Linked DNA regions of Lepisosteus oculatus. The protein of the gene in region 2 binds, or shares a complex with, the protein of the main gene of each other region. Links are inferred from orthologs where the notes say so. Each region holds a gene or a part of one and is shown on either strand. Other genes may lie near its edges.

The links.
Region 1: the proteins of erbb2 (region 2) and grb7 are in contact, whole or in part, in an NMR structure (PDB 2L4K), measured with the Homo sapiens proteins. The link is inferred for Lepisosteus oculatus from reciprocal best matches to the Homo sapiens genes ERBB2 and GRB7. Residues at the interface, in NP_004439.2 of Homo sapiens: Pro1135, Gln1136, Pro1137, Glu1138, Tyr1139, Val1140, Asn1141, Gln1142, Pro1143, Asp1144; in NP_001025173.1 of Homo sapiens: Ser437, Arg438, Glu439, Gln442, Arg458, Glu459, Ser460, Asn463, Gly466, Val468, Lys476, Lys478, His479, Tyr480, Leu481, Ile482, Tyr492, Phe493, Ser494, Met495.
Region 3: the proteins of erbb2 (region 2) and ptpn18 are in contact, whole or in part, in a crystal structure (PDB 4NND), measured with the Homo sapiens proteins. The link is inferred for Lepisosteus oculatus from reciprocal best matches to the Homo sapiens genes ERBB2 and PTPN18. Residues at the interface, in NP_004439.2 of Homo sapiens: Leu1109, Gln1110, Arg1111, Tyr1112, Ser1113, Glu1114; in NP_055184.2 of Homo sapiens: Arg61, Tyr62, Lys63, Asp64, Val65, Arg138, Asp197, Arg198, Ser230, Ala231, Gly232, Cys233, Gly234, Arg235, Arg268, Ala273, Gln276.

Annotation. Positions count from the first base shown.
Region 1 is NC_090723.1:3,853,945-3,861,580, reverse strand, and holds the start of grb7 (growth factor receptor-bound protein 7), read right to left. Parts: upstream 3,030-7,636; 5' UTR 2,338-3,029; intron 1,106-2,337; exon of another isoform or gene 1-1,105. UniProt on the Homo sapiens protein: Adapter protein that interacts with the cytoplasmic domain of numerous receptor kinases and modulates down-stream signaling. Promotes activation of down-stream protein kinases, including STAT3, AKT1, MAPK1 and/or MAPK3. Promotes activation of HRAS.
Region 2 is NC_090723.1:5,670,360-5,678,217, forward strand, and holds the start of erbb2 (receptor tyrosine-protein kinase erbB-2), read right to left. Parts: upstream 3,047-7,858; 5' UTR 2,832-3,046; coding exon 2,753-2,831; intron 1-2,752. UniProt on the Homo sapiens protein: Protein tyrosine kinase that is part of several cell surface receptor complexes, but that apparently needs a coreceptor for ligand binding. Essential component of a neuregulin-receptor complex, although neuregulins do not interact with it alone.
Region 3 is NC_090697.1:77,038,849-77,046,222, forward strand, and holds the start of ptpn18 (tyrosine-protein phosphatase non-receptor type 18), read left to right. Parts: upstream 1-4,336; 5' UTR 4,337-4,931; intron 4,932-5,079; 5' UTR 5,080-5,081; coding exon 5,082-5,177; intron 5,178-7,374. Other genes in the region: mon1ba (vacuolar fusion protein MON1 homolog B), read right to left, coding at 508-592. UniProt on the Homo sapiens protein: Differentially dephosphorylate autophosphorylated tyrosine kinases which are known to be overexpressed in tumor tissues.

The DNA.
Region 1 (7,636 bases), about 1.8 Mb from region 2:
AGACACCAAGATTACAGAAGCTTGTTTTTTTGTTTTAAGACTGCTTAACTTTATTTGTTCAGTAACTGAAACTTAATAATTACTGTGACAAAGAGCATTCTTTCCAGTCACTGAAGTGAGTAAGAATAATTTACTGGTAATTACTGGCATCAGTAATTTAATATTGTATTTACACTTCAGGTGCAAGGTTGACTTAAGGGAAATAATAGTTTTGCAACAGCAGAGGTGTTTTTTTAGTCATTTCTGTTTGCCGTCATCAGTACGTGCGATGAGCTCAGTTGTGTGGAATCGACAGCAGCTGTTGCTGTACAACCTGCTCTTTGTGTGGACATGAAACATGGCTTAGACTAAGACAATGCACTCTCACTCACCCCTGGCCACTGACTCACTATCAGCACGCCTCGCTGAAACTCCCAGCCTGCCTCATGCAGAAAACACTCCCTCCACACAACCTCAAGGACAGGGGTGGGCAACATTTCCTGGCTGGGGGACCCCTTCTCAAGAAACCCCTCTCAACATGTACCCCAAATTTGGTTTCAGGTTTATCTGCAAATAATGCTACTGTATGTTCTGGGGCTAAGGATCTGCACCTGTGGCTGGAAGGTTGCCGGTACGAACCCTGCAACCAGCAGAGGAATCCTACTCCGTTGGGGTTAAGGGCCTTGCTCAGGGGCCCAACTGCTCCAGGGGCGCCGTATAAACGGCTGACCCTGCACTCTGACCCCAAGCTTCTCTTTGTCTGTGTGTCTCATGGAGAGCAAGTTGGGGCAAAAAAAGACCAATTCCTACTTCAATAAATTGTATATGGCCAATAAAGTGATCTTATCTTATATTCAAAGATTCAGACTAACAGATCCACTTCTAATATAGTCAGAGAATATTAACAATTTTCAGACTTGGGGTGAAGAGATTCTCATGTCTTCTGGTTATCCTGTCCTTAGAAGGTCCAGAAATGTCCTTGCCAGATTCCACTCAAAGTGGTCAACCTGTTACGGCCCTCTGTAAGAACATAAGTTAGGTTACAAATGAGAGGGGTCCATCTTCCCTATCAAAATCATATGGCTGCGAATAGCTGATCTGAGGCACTCTACCAATTGGCTCTTAAAAGAAGCCAGAGTATCAGTATCAACACGTCTGGGTAGTTCATTCCCAACTCACACAACAATTTGTGTAACATAGTTTCTCCTGATCTGGTTTTAAAGCACAATGATGAGAACAGTCAGATCTAAAAAGTATGGATTTGAATACAGATTTACAATGTGCAGCTGTACGCACTCGTTTTCAGATGCAAGTGGGCTGCAGAATGAGGATGGAGAGCACAACGTTCAGAAAATGGACGAGCATGCAGCATGCAGCAGCAGGAAGAGTCGGGCGAGCGAGAGAGAGAGCAGCCCGGCTGGCTGGCCTAGCGCCTCGGCCCACTGACACATCGACTGCCCCCCATGTCACTCACGCAATGCGAGAGGAGCTAGACAGAGAGCTGGGAGATCAGACAACCATTGACCAGATGAGAAATCAGCTGTACACTAACTGAAGACACCTTCCACAGCACAGGAACCTGAAGAAATCAGACTGGGCCTCTGACCTATTTCGTGGGAGCAGACAAAATCCCAAGACTTATGCACGGTGTCTTCGTTTAAAAAAAAAAAAAAACAACGTAAACTGCACTTGTGCTTCAGGACAGTTAAAGTTCAAAGTTTCCTTTGAAGAAACCTGAAAGAAGAGCACATTTTCAAGGCCAAGGACTCGGGAAGCATCCGTTCCTTGGACAGCTGCGAGCTCTGGGCCTTCATCTTGGCACTCCGGCACGTGCCTTCCTTGGGGATCAAAAACACACACCTGTGTCGACAGCTTCGGCGCGCGCCACGGACCGGGATGAAAGCTCGCCCCCCCCTCAGCCTGCACCTCGAAAGCAGCGCCGAACACAAAGGGCACAACCTCGCTGCTCAAGGCAGGACTGAACGGGGACCCCTCTGGGGGCAGGTGAAGGCAGCACTTGAAGCAATGTCCCGTTTATGCAGGACGTTTTAACATTCGACGTTCCCTTAGGCGCCTGCAAGCACAACCGCGTGAAGACGGCCCGCTCACCGTGCGTTACGGAGCGGCCTTCCTCTTGCAGGAAGAAAAGAAACGTTACAGCGATGAGGCCCTTCTGCCCATCCAGCAAGGACAGCTGCGAGCAGGAGAGTGACACCGTGATTTCATCCATCTGCTTCTCCGAGCAGGCCAGGGTGTTCCCTCGAGCAAGAAGGATGGGCAGCTTGCTCAGGAACCCCACCATGCTTTCAGCAGAAGACATCTGTTCTCTGCTTCACAACGTTTCGCTTTGCCTCTTACCTTTACGCCCTTAATCGCTTCAAGTGCGCAGCCACCAACGGCTGGCATCTAATCACTTCTGCGTGCTTCCTCCCCAGAGTTCTCCCACTCGCTGCTCACGGATGGCCTGTTCTTAATCTTTCTGTCCCTTTCTGCTTTCAGAACAGCTCACTTCTGGTAGGTTCCACAAGCTCGTCTCTTCAGGCACACGAACATGCAAGCAACCGGGTAAAAAACCTCCTTCTGGATTGGTTTCCACCTTTTTATAGCTTTAAGTGGATTTCAAATTCAAAAGCCATCAAACAGTTGGAATTTTTATTTAACTTTTCCAATAGACGGGCCTCTCAAATCACTTTAAAACACTGCAATTAAACTTTGACAAAGAGGTACACCCCTACCTAAACTTGTCTGTTCTACTCTGATCAAGGATTTTTTTTTTGCATCAAGAGTTTGAATCTGTAGAGGCATGCTTTCACAGCGTGCATCTCTTCTCCGTACATCGACAAGCTACCGCTAAGGAAACAGCATGAAGGCTCCAAAAACACAGATTAAAGGAGAGAGAAAAAAAACGTCCACAACTCTAAGGATTAAAATACGAGTTTATCCCTGTGTGGAGCACTTCGAATCTAACACTTGACCGGTCGGTGCAGCCCTGAGTCATTGTAACCAAGGATTTAAAAGACAGCAGATCACCACAGAAGCCCGCAGTCAAAATGACACAGAAACGAGAAGAAAACAGCTAATTTGAAGCCAAGACGCGAGTAAAAAAAACGGATAGGATAGTACGCCATCTCAAGTTCTCATTGTCTCCTACAAGGAAGAAAGGAGATACGCTCTCTCGTCAGCTAACAGCATCTTACTGTCCCATTTAAAGCTCAAACACAGCCTAGCAGCAGCTGACGAACTCCCGTAACGTCCTAGAAAACAGAACCGAGAAACAACATACATGACGCACGTTTGTTCCCTCCGCTTTCAAGAACTTGAACTTACCCCGTGGAAAAACGTGAGAAAGGCTGCCGGAGCAGACGGTGGAAATAATAATTACCTACAACCGGGAGATCCTGTTCCTCACTCAACAACCGCCTGTCGCTCACACGGCCTCTCCCGCTGTCGTCACCGCTCAAGGGCGCTCCGGCCCTGGCGGGAGGAGCCCCGGATTTGAGCTCACCTGCAAGGTGAGCTGGGCCACTGCGCGCGCGCGCCCCCCCCCCGCGAGGACAGGTGGGGGTGCGCGCTCTCGGCACCGGACCCCGTCCCGGCCCCGGCGGCCGCCCGTAAGCGGGTCGTGATGTGGGGAGGGTGCTATCATCCGTGCGGGTTCATGGGCACACTTCCACTCCACTCCGGAAGTTTGACCAAGACGGTTTTTTCTAGTCAATTCTCAACCCTGGGAGTCGCTTTTCTTAAAAAAAAAAGAAAAGACAGCGCGTCCCTGTGGCGCACTAACTCTTCTAATTAAGAGCTCCCATTTTACTGTGATTTACCCGTCAGCTGCAGACGGTATCTCAGTAACATGAGGTGTGCGGCAGGTACTCTCGGGTCAGGACGCGATTGTGATTCGTATTACAACGTGAACGTTTAACTGCGCCCGGGATGAAAACAGACGAACTGCACTCCTGCAGAGGAAATTGTCTGTCCCGCAAACCGCGAACTCCCCGAGTCAGGAGACAGCAAGATTTATTTAATGCACGATTCCGCAGCTGAAGCCTTTTAAAATATATATATTAAATAACTCCTTTCAATAAGGTAGTGTCATCGTTTTAATTTGGAAGCCAACGATTTATTGTAAAGGAAAATAGTCTCACGACACGGTGCAGAAGAGATTGCTGTCTCACAAACCACAGCGATCTCGTCATTGATCATTCTTAGAGCATAACATGCACTCGGTAACTCCATGAATGAAGGTCTACATGACTTTCTGGTTATTGAGTGTAGAAGGAATACTCCTAAAGGCATTCTGTCGATGCAGGAACGCTTCCGGAACCAGTTTTTTTACGTGCTCGGTAACGCAGGAAAACGTTGTCCTACACTGGTATCCACAAGGACTGATCACTGTCTCTAGATGAGGCTGATTAACAGCTCCCAAAACTGCAGTCGGCAACAGGAGAGCAGACAGGACATCCCGTAATTTTCGTCCAGTGAGAGCCTGTAATATGAATACTGTTGTTGTTGTTTTTTTATCCAGGGCTACTTAAGTTCCAAATTGTAAACTGAAAGCAGTGCACTTTAAAATGTAGTGGGATTCTGAGTAAACAGCCAGTGACATTAAAATCAGTGATCAAATGTCTACGTTTAAAAAGACGATGCGTGTCAGGGTCACGATGGGCCCCAGAGGAGCCCACAGGTCTCCTCAGGTGTGGCAGGTTTTCACTGCGCGCTACTGCACTCGAGTTCCGCCGTTTGAAGACTTTGTCAGTAACATCAAAGGCTCTGTTAATGTCTTATCTTATATGATTATGCAGTCACAAAGACTGTCGATTGCTGTCGAAATCTCTCGATTTTCCTGAAATGTCCATGATCCGTTTATTAGACAGCCGACAGCATCGCTGCCTAGCGTTTTTTTTATATTAGCGAGCGAGAAACGACAAATATATATATTTTTTTAAATGTCTCGGTCAACAGAGACCGAATCGCTCGTGTAATTCAGGTTCTAGAGCAGGAGGCGACGCTGAACTCGCGACACGAAGCGCGAGTTACACCAGGCAGACGCGCTTGATAGATCAATTTGACCAAACCTCAAAGCTCAAACCTTGACCTGGTGAAATACCGATCAAAGAAATTCCAGTAGAGGGAGACAAAGCTACAGACACGTCCCGGGGGCTGTGCTCTTAACAACGGGGGGCATCATTCAGGGATCTGACAAAACGCCAAGGTCGATAGTATTAGCTGAATTTCCGAGATAGTTTTTTTTTTAATTCTATAAACGCACAAAATAAAGTCAATTCTGGACTAATGGATTTAAGAAACAGAAATAAAATAATTTAGATATCGAACAAAATCACAGGAAATACGACCAGAATTATTATTTTTTTAAGTTACGGGTTTTCAATCTAACACGTCACGCTATCCCCATGAAGACGTTACAGAATTAATGAACACCGTCCTGGCAGCCGATATACCTGACCAGCCTGTAGGCTGACACTGCTGCTCTTCCTGCACAGGTGCGGTCTCAGTGCAGACTCCAGATCTCCCGACAGTGCGGTCCTGTGTGGTCAGGCATTGAGGTGACGGCCCTGGCGCGGTGCTGTAAACCGGTCTTCCAGATCCTGATGTGTTTCTTACAGGTTGCCTTCAACGATGCCTGTAGAAACCGGCTGGTCTTCATTCAAACAGGGTACGCCCCCGTCGTCCTTGCGTTAATTAAAACTGCATCTTTTTTTACGGGTTTCTAAAGAAATCCCCTTGACACACGTTATGAGCATCACTGGAGTGGTTTTTTTTTTGTATCTGCACAGCATTGTTGCATTCAGACTCTCGTGTCAGCCTCTCAGTATCGAAGCATTTCTTGGATGAAATAAGGGACAAAACTTTGTTGTGGGGGGGGCGGGGCACTTAGAAAACTACTTAAGGCTTCACTATATCCAGAAATTTGTGACCCATGTGATCACTCAAATTAATCTGCATTCACATATAATTCCCAAATATCCATCTTCTCCCACTTCTTCCGATTCAGGGCTGTGGGGTTTGGTGGTGCCAGAGCCTATCCCGGCAAGCAGCAGGATGGCACACCAACCCACCACAGGGCACACGCACACACTCATGTCAGAGCTCTGGACTGTGAGGAAACACACGCACACGGAGAGAACAAATTCCGCACAGACGGCTCCCCAGGTCTGGAACTGAACCCAGGGCTTCAAGGCACCGATGCTGACCAGTGCCACCACACCTCCCACATGAAAGCCCCATCCTACAGGATCCAGACTGGCTCCCTGTGAAACTGCTAGCTCGCTAGCAAGAAATACAAAGCTAAATGACTTGAATGATACAACTGATTGTAATAGAGATCTCTTTATTATAGTGCATTTCTCAGATGAGTTACAAGATGGTTAAAAAAAAACAAAACTAAAAACCAAAGGGAAAGTTCAAGAAAAAAAATACATATGTAGATCTTTGTTTTTGCATGTCAATGTTTACAGATTTTTTTTAAACTTAAAGCTTCACATTCGAAAAAGGGTAAATTAATCTGCCTAGTTAAATGTTTATATATTTATAATGATTTACAGATAAAAAATATCACTGTTTTTCTTTCACTATGGCTACATTATAGTTGACAAATTAAATCTAAAGTAGTAAATGGCCAGGAAGAAGAGGATTCTTGAGTTGTGTTATTTATATACAGGTTTGGTGTTTTTTTGTCAATGAAATACAACTGTCTAGCCGTTTACACCAATAAGTGTCCCTCTTAGAGCATCCAAGGTTGAAGATACAAAAATTCTTTAGACATGCCTTTTAGTAAGCAGAAAATGGACTTTATGAGTCTCATATTTCAGCACACTGGACAGGAATGGGGAGTAAATGAATTGGATTCCATTTCTTTATATGCTCTAATAGGACCTTTTTGCACTTGTATAGGAAACCCATTTTCCTTCTAATTTTTAAAGACTATACAGTGATTTGTAAAAAACAAAGAGCTTAACAGGTGGTCTATTTTTTATTAGGATTATTTGTATCATATTCAAACCATTGAACAAGATCCCACATGTGTGGTTTTGTGAATTCAGAGTAATGACTGAGCTATTCGTTTAACTTTACTAATGCCCAGATCACTTAACAGACAACCTGCTCGAAGGGAGATGAGGCAACTATAGCATACTCTTCTTGCTTCGAGAGAGACATGGTTTCCTTGCACACCTGAGAATCTGTACAACAACTCGTAAACCTGTAGGTGAGCCTAGTTTCATTTCACAGCTCAAGGCTGTGCTAGATATTAACATCTCCTTATGTTTCATAATCACTGCCCCATACAAATTACTCAGTAACAGGTCACTTTTTTTTGGTTTTCCGTGCATAATTTAAAACTAAGTTATTAGAGCTTTATCTGTGACGTGGCTTTCAGCATTTCAACAATCAATAAGTTGAAGTAGCTCAACTCAAAAAGTTTAAAAGATATCTTGTGTAACACATGGGGCTACAGAACCTAATGATGCAGCAAACTGAGGATTCTTTCAGTGCCACAACAATGGTGTGAGTCAAATACCGAATTGATAATAATCAAGACTACGTAACAATGGCCACCAGACCTTAAAAAACAGGGCCATTCTTTGATAAAAATAGGATCACTGGAACAATGAAAATGTGAAAGGAGAGTAGCAAACCTTTT
Region 2 (7,858 bases):
GCCCTAATCCTACAGGGTGCGTATTTATTATCAAGACAAAAACGGCCCACCAGGAAACAATGCTCTGCAAAATAAAGACAGCGCATGAAGGAAAACAAGGAAACAAGGAAGCTTAAGCAATGGTATTTCAGTTCCTTTAGAGGCAGCACTACGCATAAATAACAATAGGTTACCTATTGCTGGACAGGAGACGGTTAACATGTCCCTTTTTACTGGCGTTACACTGTAACCAAACTGCCAAGGATAAGTCACTCAAAAAGGTGGCTGGTGGCGTAAATGTGCAAATGTTGTGACAAACTGTGTCTGCCAATGAGAATCCACAAGAGCTAGGGCAGTGCGCATCTTTACTGCAAGCCAAGCAAATCTGTTTTGATCCATTTGAGGATTTATTAGGTGAAGGATTTTGTAGAAAAAAATACCCATGACTGAAAACAACATCTATCATATTTTTATCTACAGCTCTGAGACCCACTTAACCATTATTAAAAGACAACCCTGGCAAATATCCAGCACCAGGTTTTTTGGCATGTACAGGACATAGAAGCCTACGTCTGGAAAGACCAGAAGAGTTTAAGCTGGAAAAACAGAGGGAAACCAATTCGTCTGGTACAATGCTGGACTGGCCAAATGCAGGCTAAAATCACAGTCCAGTTGGCAAAAGATATTGCCACATAAAAAAAGAGATTATAACCATCTTCTGTGCTGAAAAATGACCGCTTGCTAATTTTAAGAGGATGTCTTCTTCCATGAAGCTGAGGGTCAGTCTTCTTAGCTTCAGAGGAGAAGCTGGAAAGGGCTGCTGAAAACATCCTCAGCATCCAGAAGGAGCTCTGAAAAATGCTTAGGGGAAGACAATCGCCCTTGCGCAGTGCTGAGAAGCCCATCTGGAATCATTATGCCCAGAATCCGTTTAGATACTTCCCTGCTTTCCTTCAGGCATTGGGAACGACAGCGGGAATCTTTGCATCCCATAACTAACCCGTCGGAATCCTGCCGACAGACTCTCAGGCTCTAAAACCTATTTTTAAAGATTGTGGGAAAAAGGGTTTGGGTTTGCGGAACTTGAAATTACTCTATCCACAGGAACAAGTTGGCTGTTGCAAAAACGGAAAAATAGAAAAAAAATGATTCGGCTGTTTAGAAAAAAAAAACAACTGGCAACTGGAAGTGCCAATGGGACTGCATCTCCATGGAGGAGAGACTCTGGGAAAAACCAGTGGGAAGTGTGCGACCCAGAACTGGGCACGAGATTTCAAAACTACAGCGTTTCCAACAGCCAGGGTGTTAAAAAGGCTCACGCAGTGCCTGAGCTCAGGGTGGCAGAACAGGCCTCCACAGGGAAAGATGGTGGAAACCGTCTCTACAAAGGAAAGGTTTCAAAACACTCAACTCCATGGAAAGACTTTTTGCCATAAAAGTAGGCTTAATATTTTGGGATGGAAAATAAAGCCGACACATATAGTGCCCGGTCAGTAAGAAAACAACTGCATTTCAACAACTGCATCCTTGGGCAAAGCTCTGGAACTCTTTGCCCAAGGATATTAGAGAGTCACCTTCTCTAAACTCCTTCAAATCCTTCTTCTTCAGAAAAGCCTTTACTTAACTGGTTCCATTCTTCACCCCTCTGCTCTTCTTAGTACCACCTTCCACGGTCTCCTCTATTGTTATTGTTGTATTGTTGTAATTATAATTGTGTCCTATCTTGTGAAATCTTCTTAATTATTGTTGTAGTCTTCTTATTTATTGTTATTGTCATCCTGTAAAGCGCTTTGAGAAGCCACCTTTAAAGGCGCTATATAAAATAAAGTTTATTATTATTATTTCACGGATAACAGGAAATGCCACCTTACAGACTCACTTGAAGAATATGACACACATCACCACCGCCTTGTGCACAACCTGGAACCAGATATCAGCAGCGAATAAGTTTGTTTTGACTGTGCCCAAGCACAACAAGAGTGCTGCATCGCTGGAGAGGGTTGTAGAGGGGAGATGTGGAGTGTTTCAGTTCAAATTCCGTAGCCAATAGCCTATTTGACTACAAAGTTTGCTCAACGTCTGTATTTCGAAATAGGCTTATACAATTGTTTCTGAAATCGATACTTCACACAAATCTGAAGCCCGGCTAGTTTATTATTAGCTTATATGTCAATACACAACTTGGCGTTTCTCTGCGGCATCTCCGCCGCAGTTCGGGGCTGTAATTATTAGGTGTCAGGACTGGTTTCCAAGATTATACTGGCGACGGGATACGGGTTTGTTTACTACAGAAAGGTATTCTTCTTCGCTATTAGGATTATTCTGTTTCCACTCGAGTGTCGTCATTCAGAGTCGCAAAGCAGGTTCTCAGGCAGCCGTGAGTATTTTCTAACACTCCCCTTCCCGACACAAACACACCTCCTTTAAGTATTTGGCTTCGAGTTATAGTGTTTACATATTTCGAGAAAGCGGAGTTTTAAACAGCACCCAAGCCGTCCTGAAATCGCGCCTGAAATCGCACTGACACATCCAGGGAAGTCCCCACGAATTGGACCGAATGTGGGAGAGAGCGGCGCGGCGCGACGCGGCTGGGGGTTGGAAAGTTATTTTCGAGTCGCGCAAGAAAAGTTTCACGCTCGGGAAAACGTGAATCGAGGGGACACAAAGTCTCCCCCGAGAGTTTTTTTTCCCCCCGCGTTTCCTGCCCTCTCTCCCTCCCCTCTCTCGTCTCTCGTGGCCCTGAAGAGAAATGAAAGTTTCAAAGTCAACCCACCTTCCCTGCCCCGTGTGCCCGCAGTCACGACCAGCGCAGCTCCGAGCAACACCAGCAAACTTCTCCACGGCGTTTCCATCGCCTTCGGCTTCTACTCCATAGCGAGCACCGGGCGCCTCGGTTTTAGTCGAAACTTAAGAACGGGCAGTCTCCAAGAACCTCTTCTCCTTCCTTGTCGATTTCAAAAACAATATCCCAGCACTTCCCCACTCCTACTCCCTGTCTCACTCGCTGTATCCCTTCCTTGTGGCTGGTAGGCGAGGGTGACGCGCAGCGCGCTCCCGGGGCCCGTGCTGGGAGTGGCAGAGCTGAAACTGAGCCGAGAGACCGACCCGCCTCACACTTCACTCAGCTTGCTGCTGCTGGTGGTGGTGGTGCTGGTGCAGGCACCGTGTCCGCCTCTCTCTCCCTGTCCGGCTGTCTCTGACTGGGCAGAGGAACCCCAGCAAGGAAAAAAGACCCTTCCGAAAACGGGGACAGAGACTGGGCGAGCTGCTAATCGGGTGCTACAAATGTTCGGATTCCATGTTCAAATTCCCTAGTCTGTGCACGCCGCCCACGCAAAACAGTATCTGAAATTATCATTATTATTGATATGCAGACAAGCGCATTTGTTCTGCACTGGCGACTGAACTTACTTATATCGCTTATTTTTGAATTAATTCACCCAGCTATCATAACGACGTTCGTATCGCGTTAAATGTTTGATTTTGTTTTCCCGGCTTAGATAAATTAATAGGTGACTGTTCTGAATAGTCCTTGTTATTCTAGCGTTAATCAGGAAACAAAGCTCCCATTCTGTTTCTCCTGTCATGAAACTGCCCGCCGGTGTATGCCAACGAGCAAGGTGCAAACGGCTAACAACTTTCTAATCGTCGTACGTCTCAGCAAAATGTCTTGAACAAGTTAGACGGTGCAGTTCTTCTATTCTTGCAAAAATGATGGCAGCTTGCCCTATATCTTAGTCTTTGGACTGACATTTTTCACTCGCAGACCCAAGATTCTTTTTAATCGACATTAAAAATAATAAGTTAAAAACTCACACCCTGAATGGAATTCAGTTCAAACCCCTCCCATGTCAGACCTCGCGTTTCGTTTTACAGGCACCAGGAATTTCCATTTAAATGTCTTGCTTGCGTTACTTTTTTTTAATTAAAATTCAATTACACTGACAGCAGCTTGCGAGCAGCGGCAGTTTGTCATTCTTTGTATCATATTACACCCAGTGACACCCGTTGTCTCGTTCCGGCGGTTAGGCGGCTCTGAGATGTTGTACAGCTAATAATAAACCACATTGTCTGAGAGTTCATTATAAACCCGACTGGTGTCAGGGGTGACAACCCGAACACAGCTGACAAACTGGAATTTTTTCCGTTTTCAAAAGAGAGCGCTTTACGAAACAGTCGGGCTGCAGTTCTTCACCCCGGACTGTATAGAAATCTTAGTTTTGTCGCACTTCTGACTACAGTTATTGTGAATTTGGGGTATTGTATTCGCGCACTGTCGTGGGAGTATTGATTTCTAAACATCTCTTGCTCATTGGTGGTCTTTTCAGATGGGTTTAAGGAGAGGGATCACGGCCCGTCTGTGACAAATCTCTTACGTGGAAATATAGTTGTGGCCTGAGACGCGGATTAGGCTAAAGGTGAAAAAATGACTTCGCACTGCGAAAACTGACACCTGTCTAGGTAATGTCTGCCTGCACCTGTAATATACAGAAAATAAATCGTTAAGAGAATGAGAAAAAAAAAAAGATAATACCGGATACAGTATCTACCGAGATTTATCTGAGCTCCCCTAATCATTGTAATTAAATCAATTATCCACCTACTCGGCTTTGTCGTGACAATCAGGCTGCAATGTATTATTGTATGATTGTCCTAATAAGAAACCTTCTGATCAGGATGTTTTCAAACATTCTGGCATGGGAAATAAAATTCGGCTATCTGGAAAAAGACCTCCAATTTTTCTATACCAAAAAAAAATCAAACTGATGGCAATGATCGTTACTGTTAGCGAGGAGGTATAAAAACCGAGCTGGAGGCCGGAGCGCTTGGACAGAGCGTCGATTTCGCGCAGCGCTGGGCTTGGGGAGGAGACAAGTTGCTCATTTTCGGCGTTGCCCTGTGGCTGACATTCCCTTGACTTCCACTTTCTAGTCAGACTAAACAACTCAGCTGGCCAGCGCTCGGCACCTCCTCTTGAAGTTTTATTTGGGGGGGTTAGTGACGGTGAACTGCTCGAGCAGCTCGCGGGTGGGTGGGAGATGCCGGGCGACGGCGCCGGTCCGAGCTGTAACGGTAGCGGTCTCGGCACAGTTTTCTCAAAACACCATAACGCCTGGTCAAATATGTGTATATCTTTCTGTACAGATCCACGGTCATACTTCCCAAATGTTACACGTTAGTTACAGTGTTAAATGATGTTACAAATGTTACAGCACACCCCCGAATTCCATCGGAGTCTGTAATACTCAGCTACGAAGGGTCATTAAGATCCTTTTTTTTATAGCTATTGTTATTTTTACAAAAAGGTGATTACCTCAGTTAAAGAGAGCGTCGTAAAGGTATTGGTAGAATCATATTTGTTTGGTTTTTGACCATTTCCGGCGTGAACAAGACTTTTGTTGTAAAAAAAAATATTTTTTTTTGGGTGCTTCATGCACTTCAGTGTGTTTTAAGAAGACGTGTTTTTTTATATGTATTCTATTCCACTGAATTGGTTGAAATTCCTTTTGGTGTTGTAATATTTACTTATGTATGATTTAGAACACGAGAAGACAGGGAAAACATTAAAATACTCCAAAAGCTAAAGAAAGGATGCTTGTCTGTAGGGGTTTTCTTTTTACAAAGCACACCATTAATATATTTAGTTATTTGGCAGAACATGACACGTTGGCGATGAGGTGCTAGGGTTTGTTTTTAAACTCAGTGCACAAATAAATGGAGGGAGACAACACCTCACACGTCAGTCAGGTCTGTTTTCAGCCCCTGCTAAACTGTTGCAATTCAGTCCCCACCCCAAGAAAGTGACCACTGAGGACGCATTTTAAGTATTGTTGACTATGGGTGATAACTCATAAGGCAAACTGGGGAACCAAGTTCATTTTACTTTAAAAAGGCCCCTGAACAGTGTTGACCCACACCCCTGAATTGTACTGTCTGTAAGATACGAACAAGGCCAGTCATTGGTGGCCACCATATCGGCTACCCACCTCTCTTCACAGCAGAGAAAAGGACTGGGGTCAAGATGTGGACAATCTCTTTCCTCCTGGACCGGTATTGTGTGTGTATGCCCTCTCCGAGACCTTCGTGCCTCTCAACACTGTGCCCTGGTCATTCCTGATACTGCAGGACTACAACACACAAGTCCTCAACACCCACAACAAGTTTAAGAGAAAGACGAACTCCTGGAAGGTGCTGTGACTTTAAAAAAACACAACAAAAATGGCAGCTGAAGTAACAGAAGACTATTTATTTGGATTCTCATTCGTTTGCATTTTAAAGCTCCTTTTTTTTTGGATACAACACTGGATATATACAGGTTCATCATTCCCAAAGAGAAGAAAAAAATGACAATGTGCATACGTAGCAGAGAGGGGGCGCTGTGGAGCACAAAGTGTCTGGTGGCATGCCAACTGGTTAGGAAGGGCTCGGGTATTTATATATATATAGACCTGGGGACACCTGCAGGGACGCCCACTTGCTCTTTTAAGGTTTGTGGCCGTCAAAACGGAATGGAAGTTGACACGTTTTGTATGCAGGAAACAATCCTCTCCACTCCACCTTCCAAAGTGAGTCAGTCCGAATTTCTGCCATCCTGCCCCCCTGACTCAATCCTAAATCTCCCCCCTCTCTCTGTCCACCGTCTCACTCTCTCTCTGTATCTGAAAGCTGCTAGATTTATCCACATCATCTATCATCCTACTATCTTAGTGGAGACGTACTCTTGCACCGCAAACACAAGCATTCAGGATCCCGGACAGCAAGGGACAGACACACACACACATTCCCAGATCAATCACAGGGTTCCCAGGGATACAGCAGCCTACACACATACAATCACACAACTCAGACATATCACCTGCCCAGGACAAACTGGCAGTGTTCTGCATTTGTGAGCACACAGGTTAGTATGTAAAGAAAGGGTCATACTAGTTACCTTGTTCTGCACAATCGGTTGTATGAATTTAACGGACTTTAACTCTGTTAAAACAGTTTGCAATTACAAGGTATAATGTAGCTGCACCAAGTACAAAGTATAACTGCAAAGTCCTCAAAGTGAACTGCATCCTGCCCCCACCCCCAAAGAAATGAGAGAATACCTTTTTTTCTGTTAAAAAAGCAGACTTTGTACAGTTCACCACTAATTTTATCCTGCGAACACACTCCAACATAGACTTATATACCAATGCAGCCTCACTGCTCAACAATACACACTGAATTGCTCACAGTCTGCACAAAGATGTCTGTTTTCCCTGTCTCCCAGTTCAAAGCAGTTTATCTCAGTTGTCAAACACACACTGTCCACCCAAGGACACACACTTCCTCAAGGACACTGAAGCGCTGAACTGCACACTTACCCCAGCCAGCACACACTTGCACTGGAATTGTCTGTTGTAAAGCTTGAAAATGCATAAGAACTGAGAAGTTTGAAACTGTTTAAAAACGTTTTTTTATAAAGAGCTACCTGGAACAGACTTTCAAGTCGGGTGGCTGAGACCCAAACTCTGATGTCCTTGAAGAAACATCCAGACATATCTTTTGTATTCCATTTACTACCAAACTATCACATGACCAAAATGGTCCTTCTTTCATTTGAAAACGTCATGTTCTTATTTCCATCCTGACCCACACCTACTTCGGCAAAAAAAAAAAAGACCAGAACCAACGGAATTTACCAACCCACGCAGAACTGGACACTTTGGACTAAGCTTGGTAGAATTTCTTTTCCAGAGCCGCAAGACAGAACCACCGGCTCCTAGCTCGGACACAAGTGTGAGAACTGAAATCCCACGATGCATCTCACAGGTTTCCCACAATCCTTTGGGGCTTGATTTCCAGTCATGGTTTTCATGACAGCCCCGTCATCAATCACGGCCACCCG
Region 3 (7,374 bases), on a different chromosome or scaffold from region 2:
GGTGATCTGCAGCCCTGCGGGAGCAGGACTGGGGATCCCTGCTCTCTACACTGTGCAGCCCCGGTCCTCAGTGCTGCTCTGGCCTAACCTCCTAATCCCCTCCCCAGCAGGAGATCCTAATTCCACCTCTGGTGCTTTCTGAGGTGCCACATCACACACTATTAGACCAGTGGAAGAACATGAACCACTTTAATCTGCTGCGTCAGCACCCCGTTAGCAACTGTCCGCTGTCACTCCATCACCCACGCCTGTCGCTCTCCGAGGGCAACTTCGACTGTTTCTCATTTTCCAGCCGAGAGACGACTACAGTGTCCCTGGACGTGTGGGAACCATCGGAGCAAATCACCTCCCCGCAGACAAATCCTACACACCAGTACAACAGAGCTCTATTGGTGACTGACGGTCTCTCGCACAGTCCTCACTTTCCCTTTTATTTCGCGGAGGCACAGAGAGCTGGAAATCCTGTCCCACGTCCGGGACAGTCCCGCGGGAACTGGGCCGGCGTACCTGTTAGAGACGGGCTGGGGGCAGGGGGCAGCGTGCCGGACCTCCCCTCCTCAGCCTCCTCAGTCTCTCGCTGCTCCTTCTCCATCTCACCATCCCAGACGCCCTGCACGGGGGGCAGAGAAAGACAGGCTGGCTCGTAAGGAACAGGGAGTCCACTTCATCAGCAGGACACACAACCCAAGCCAAGACATAAAACCACACAGCCAAGCGTCTGTCCAACGGCTGTAACAGGGTCAGTCATTCTGCAGGGCACGGCTGAAACGCTGCCAGGCTCCAAGCTCTGCTGATCAAACTCAGGATTGCAGAGCTGATTGGAGGTCCACCTGCGTCAGGGATGATCCCGTCCTTCTTTAAACCCCTGGCCGCTGGCAGGTCGGGTCTGTGACCGTGTGGTCCGAGCTCTGGACGAGACCAGCAACACCACCGCGGACCAGAAACGCAATTAGTGATCATGCGTCTGTCATGTGACGTGCCTGGCTAGTCACATCTGAAAGCCTTAGTTTGAATGACTCAAACCAGGCCTAATAACCATGCAGATTACCCGGAGCGACCTCAAAACACAAAGGGCTTTCTGTCGAGATCTTTAAAAAAAAACACTAAATACGTCAGTTCCAGCAAAGATGCAGATATTTTTAGGTTTTGGGAGACAGCAGACATGTGGCCACTGCGCTGTTCTTTAACAGACCTGTAACCAGCTGTGTCTCAGAATAAACTGTCGCCTCTAATGCTCATCACCGTGCTTCTGAAAACGCTTGATTTGTGGCGCTCTGGATACGGGCGTCTGCCTCGTTGTTCAAGCACGTGAGAAACGTTTGCTGTGACGTTAATGAAAATGAGAAATAGGTGTTTTCAACCCATTATTTTTCACAAAGCTGTTCCGGGCTCTTGAGATCGCGGAAACTCAGACCACTGTCAGATAAAACAGATGAATCACACCTGCTGCCTTGCAGGGTCTCTGACGACAAAAACGCAGCCAGGTCAGTGACCACCGGTCTTACACGGACTCCCCAACACGGCTCGTCCTGCTAACGCCACGGAGAGCAGCCCTGCCTGCTGAAGGGCCGTCATCGATTCCAGGTTGTTTTTCCAAGGAAAGTCACCTGGCGGTTCCCGTCCACAGCTTCCCAGCTGCTCCTGGTCGCTGGGAGACGTCCCCAAACGCCTGCCAGGGAACTGGTTTGCTCCACCAACTTAAACGGAGGGCTTACAGAGCGAAGGACAGGAACGGGCGAACAACAACGTCACGGACTGGAGTCTTTAAAAACGCCTGGGAGAACGCGAAAGAAAACCCCGTCTGATCCCCCCACCCCCCGCTGATCAAAACACAATCGTTACTCTACATCACCTTCCAATATAGCACAGCTGTAGACGGCACGTATAAATAACCGCACAATTTCGGAATGCCGAGACTTTCCGCCGCTCCTCAGGTCTGCGGTGTTATTGCTGGTTGCCTCGGCTCGGCCAGCCCGTTGCGGTGATCAACACCCGGGAAGGAGTCTGTCTTGGTAATACAGGCGATTGTAAACACGGCTGTAAACACAGGTTCACCCACAGCACTTACCGAGGAAAAACGAGATTGTTTTCGGCTTTCCGATCCTGTCAGAAGGTCTGTTCCCCAAGGAGGACATTCAAGTCTTTTAATTGGTTTGCGGTCGGTTTAGTGTGTGCGGCGTCGCCGGACAGTGAAGGCTTGTTCTTTAATTGGATTTATTATTTTTTTTAAATGCATCAGCAGACAGCATTGCAACCCGGCCTAAAGCCCATAGCTGCACATAACACAGCCTCCTGCGTCTGGCTCGTCAAATTATTAAAGAAAGAGCTGTCGACTCCGAAATAAATAACATAAATAAATAAATCACAGACTTTAAAAAGTAACCGGTAATAACTATCTAAAACTTAATGAAGAAAAGAGAAACGGGGAGTATTTAAATAATCAAACTCTACCCCACCAACTGAAAAACTAAATAAATAAAGACAACTGCAGAGGTACATCCGGAATCGGAGACGCCGGCTAAGTGACACCTCGCACCAGCCAATCGGACGTGTTCTTCCAGGCAGGGGGCGGTGAAGTGGTGAGAGGGCGTGCTGATTGGACGGGATGTCCCGCTGGCCTTCCAAAATCCTCCAGTTACAAGACCATAGACACGAGGTTTGGGCAAGATAGGCCCCGCCTTCACTTCCTGTATTCTGCGCGCGTAGGATGAAGGGATACCTATGTACTGTATTGTGGAATTTCATATATGTGGACTATATATATACACTATATATGCATATGTGGAAATTCCTCATTTAAAACTGTTGACTGAAACAGACGATAATTGAGCACGTGGATAGTGCATCGACCAGACACTAGTTTGGACAAATCCGCTGTCTTTCCAGCGCATTCCCAGAATTAATAACACTTTAATTGGTCAATAGTATGTCTTACCTGTTCTGATATACAAAGAGAGGACACGCGTCAGGTCATTTACGCCTCCTACTTTGAGTTCAACCGTATTTATTTAGCGAAAGGCAAAGTTCCTCAGGCCATTGATAGTTTCTGGTCCAGCTGTGTGGAGGGTGAGTAGTCCCCCACTGAGTCTGTGGACAGGACAGGACAGGACAGGGTTCGGCTCGGCTCTAGGATGTGGTGCAGAGTTTGGACCATGACCAGTGACCAGTCCTAAAGCAGCACAGAGTGGAGAAGTGTTTTCCTGGGAGGTGCGGGCTAGGGGATTGCAGGGTAGGGCATGTGATGAGGCTCTTGTTTGCCAAGACCAGTCATTCCCAAACGTGAGCCCACGTGGAGTCTGCATTGAAGTCTTGCTCGGGCGAGCGGGCGAGGAGCATGTCTGGACCCTTTTGAGCACGTTGTGGGTGATTGCTAGTCGCGGGACAGGTGGAGGAGTGCTGTCTGCTGGCACAGGTAGCCAGGGGACTGCGGTGGTGCGAAATTAAGAAACTCTCGACTTCCAGAACACCAGCTGCAATAATAGTAAATATTCATGGATGTATCACTGGTTCATCTATTATTAAGAAAATGCTTTCAAACGGATCGCACGCTGTCTTTAATTAACCACTCAGATTCCATACATTACAGCAGGGCTGGTCTGGTCCTCTGACGTCATTCCTGTCAGAAAGAGGACAGTTATCCCCGCATTCAGCAAGTGCAACTATCAAGAATGTCCTGAGTTACACGGGCTGTCTTTATTCTTCTCATGATGTACACCTGAAATACAGTATATTCTTGTCGTCACTGTTTCCGATAACCTGAGATTGTTCAGGAAACAGCTGTATTAAAGATCATCGGGTCCATCAGCTGCATACACACCACTCAATGCCCTCTGCTTATTTAACCTTTGTCAGCTTTTTCCTTCTTTTTACCTCGGTAAGGAGCCGAATATCTCTTCCTGCTCGTTGGAAACAGGTTTCTGAGACCACACAGGCGGCCACACAGGGGCACTGTTGATCCTAATACACTACTATAAAAATCGGACTCGTCTAGACTGTAACTCTGTGAGAGCGGCTGGACAAAAGATTATTGTTGACAAATATTAAAAGCATTTTAAAAATTACCCATGAATGTCCTCCTCTATGGGTGCAATTGCATACTATGCCAACAGGCCTCCAGTCCAGTACCAGGCACTGCGGTCTGGACCAGAGACACTGCCCCTTCGGGCTGAGCGCGCTTCCCGGAGACCGAAGTTAGCGTCTCAGACTCAGGGACTGTAGCCTACAGAATGGCACCCAAGTCCACCAGAGGCACAAAGTGCTTGTTGCACGTACACCACACGTCTTAAAACCCCTGTGCTGATCTGGCCTTGCGCACTGATGCTGACGGATAACGGCGCTGCACGACCATTTCTGACGCGCATAAAATATCGCCATACAATATTTCTTGAATCGTGCAAAGATGATTTTTTTCTGTGTGTAGAAATAGAGAGCGCTGGTGGGGTTAAAGAGCCTTCAGGGGTTTGACTCCCTAGCGCTGAGCAGGGCTCCAGCCGGTCAGTGTGACGGAGGGTGGTGATTTTACAGGTTAGAACGCGCAGTTCTTTCAGCCTCGGTTTATTTTGTCGAAGGCGAATACAGTTGCTTGAGCCGAGACCTCGTCTCTCAGCTCCGGCTCGCTGTTCCGGGCGGCGCCGCTCGCTGCCCTGCTGCGGGGAAAACGCGCTGTCCAGCGGAGGGTCAGCGCGCCGGACACCGGCCGGCTCGGCGCCCCGCTCGCGGGAGCAGGCTGCCGCGCCGCCGGCAGTCCGACAGCTCTGGCGCGTTTCCAGTGATTGAAAAAACACTTCCTTGTCCAGATGTGACCGAGAGCACCTTCACTCTCGCACGCTCCGACAAGAGGAAGAAACTGCTGAGCCCCGGGCTGCACGGAGAGCAGTCTTGACGCGCAGTGGGCTCCAGCGAGCTGGAGGAGAGCACTTTGTCTCTTTGAGGTGAGGAGGTCCGGCTCAGGCGCGCACAGCGCAGGAGCTCTTCACAGCCCTGCTGACCATGAGGCTGCTTCAGTGTCGACTCGTCTGCGTCTAGAGAGCGTCGGGGTTTCCTTATTTCTCGCTGTTTTGTTTTTTGACTCCGCGACAGCCATGGACCACCGGCACCTGGCGGCGTTCGTGGAGAAGACGAGGGCCCAGCAGGCGTCCGGCTGCGGCGCCGAGGACCGACTGGCGGCGGAGTACAGCGTGAGTGCGCGCGCCCTGTTCTCTCCGGTACCGGCGGCCGCGGGGCTGCCAGAAGAGCCGCGAGGCGGTCCGGTTATTTACACGACGTTAACAGCGAACTTTTATTTTGTAGCGATTTGAGATAAAAGCGTAGCTGTATGAAGTAGCACTTCAGAAAGTTTTTAACAGGCTCCGTTGTAGCTCGACGTATGTGCACCAATAATAGTACGTACTCCGAGAGCTACATCACTCGGTATCATTTTGCAAAGATAATTATCAGACTTTGCCTGACAATAACAGTGTTTGTAGTGCTGGCAATCTGAAACGCTCTTTGTAAAATGTTGATATGGCAACGGTTTGCTCAGAGCGGTTTCCCTTCTGAATTACCGGGGCGAAGCGAAGTGAGTTGTGTAAGACTTAGCTGTACGCTCAAAGAAGCTGGAAGGCAGGACTTATTTGACAAGATGGAGAGAAGCCCGGGGTTCCTCTACAGGTGTCCAACAGGGCAGGACCGTGGGCCTGAGCACCATTCACTTGGTGAAGATTTATTGCTCATTCAAATTCTGCGGTTCTCCTTGTCTTGTAATGGTGTTATTCGTCCAGAAAGGCCTTTTGACCGTCCTGTTTTCTACTTGAAAGCACCGTTCAGGTCAGTGGTTGGACGCTTGCTGAGCTCTGAGGTGTCTGCTCTAGTGCTCCCCGGTGTGTGGTTGATTGAGCCACAGCTGAGAGGCGCAGGGCCTTGCAGTCTCCTGACTTGAGCTGTTCTGCTTCTGTTGCATTTGTGTTTGAACGCCTGGAGCTCCAGCACTTTCAGTTTATTGTCAGACTGGCCTTCTGGTTTTGTTATGAGACAAAACCGGCGATGCTCAGGATCCCGATAGCAGAAGTCTTGAGTCTGTTTAATTCTGTTCTGATTATCTTTACGCTTGTGAAAGTGTTTGAGGAGGCAGGGGCTGGAGTCCAGTTCCTCTGTCTTGTGCAGGAAGGGGTAGTGCCCAGGGGAAGGCCATTCGAGACCCTTTTGCAGTGGCACTCCAATACACTGTACCCTTGGAGTCAATGCAGCTCCACGCCGCCTCAGGAAACATGACAGATCGAGCCAGCAGACAGTCAAGCTCCTGACAGGATTCCTGTTTGTTGTAGATCCACGCGTAGCACCGGCAGAGTCCGAGTGAGTTAAATCCACAGCATTCCTGCTCTCCGCTAGTGCAAGCAGCCTGCATGCCTGCACACACGGTGCCGGAGACCCCGCAGTGCCGCTGTGCCGAAGTGCAGGATTGCAATTCCTGGTGCAGTGTGTGAGGCATCCTGGGACCAAGGAAGAAGACCCAGCCAGCCAGGTCTGAGCCTAGCAGCACCCCTCCAGCTCTCCTGGAGCTGCCCAGCCTTTCTAGGCTGAATACTCCTTCATCGCGAAGTGAGTCGTGGTCTTTTATGACTTACACCCCCGTGGAGCCGACCTGCTGGAGTGGGTGAAGGTGGTAGGGAAGAGGTGAAGGCAGGCAGGCCGGTTCAAATGCAGCCGCCTTCTGCCATAGTCTTAACCTGCAGAGCCCAAGTCTAAGGCTGCTGAGAGCATGTTAAGACAAGAGCGCCGTGCCAGCGAACAGAGTAAGCAATGCTTCTAAATGTCTCCTGAAAGCTTAGCGTGTGCAGTTGCCTCCTGGGCTCTCACTGTCTCGGGCCTCTGTGCATTTCTGTCAGCCCACAGAAGCGCTCGTCTGGGCCAGAGTTGTAGTCCGACCTCCGGGCGCACTCAGATAACAAGTCACTACAGTCTCGCTTGATGTTTTCCCTCATGTAAGCCTATCAATGAGCTTAAAATAGACCCAAGAAAAAAGTGTTGCACTGTCCTGTGAACTGTGATTGTGGTCTCTGCTGTGCCACCAAGTGCAAGGACAGCAGAGGGCCTGAATTTGGTCTTTTCTTTCCCCCGGAGACAAGGCCGTGTGGCCCTGTGGGCTCTACAGGGTCATGCAGCTAAATCGGAGCAGGAGGACTCCCAGTGAGGAGCTTCAGTCCTCGACTCCAGATGGCACCAGCCTGTTAACAGGGCACGCAAAATGGGTATTTAATTCAAAGTGCGATTGAATATCTTCTGTCTTCCACTCATCACTCTCGGTATGAGAGTCTCCTGCAGGAGACCTCAAAGCCTCTTCTGCTCTGGGTTCTGGCCCTGGCTCAGAGAAAATCATCCGTTTGCAGAATCATACCG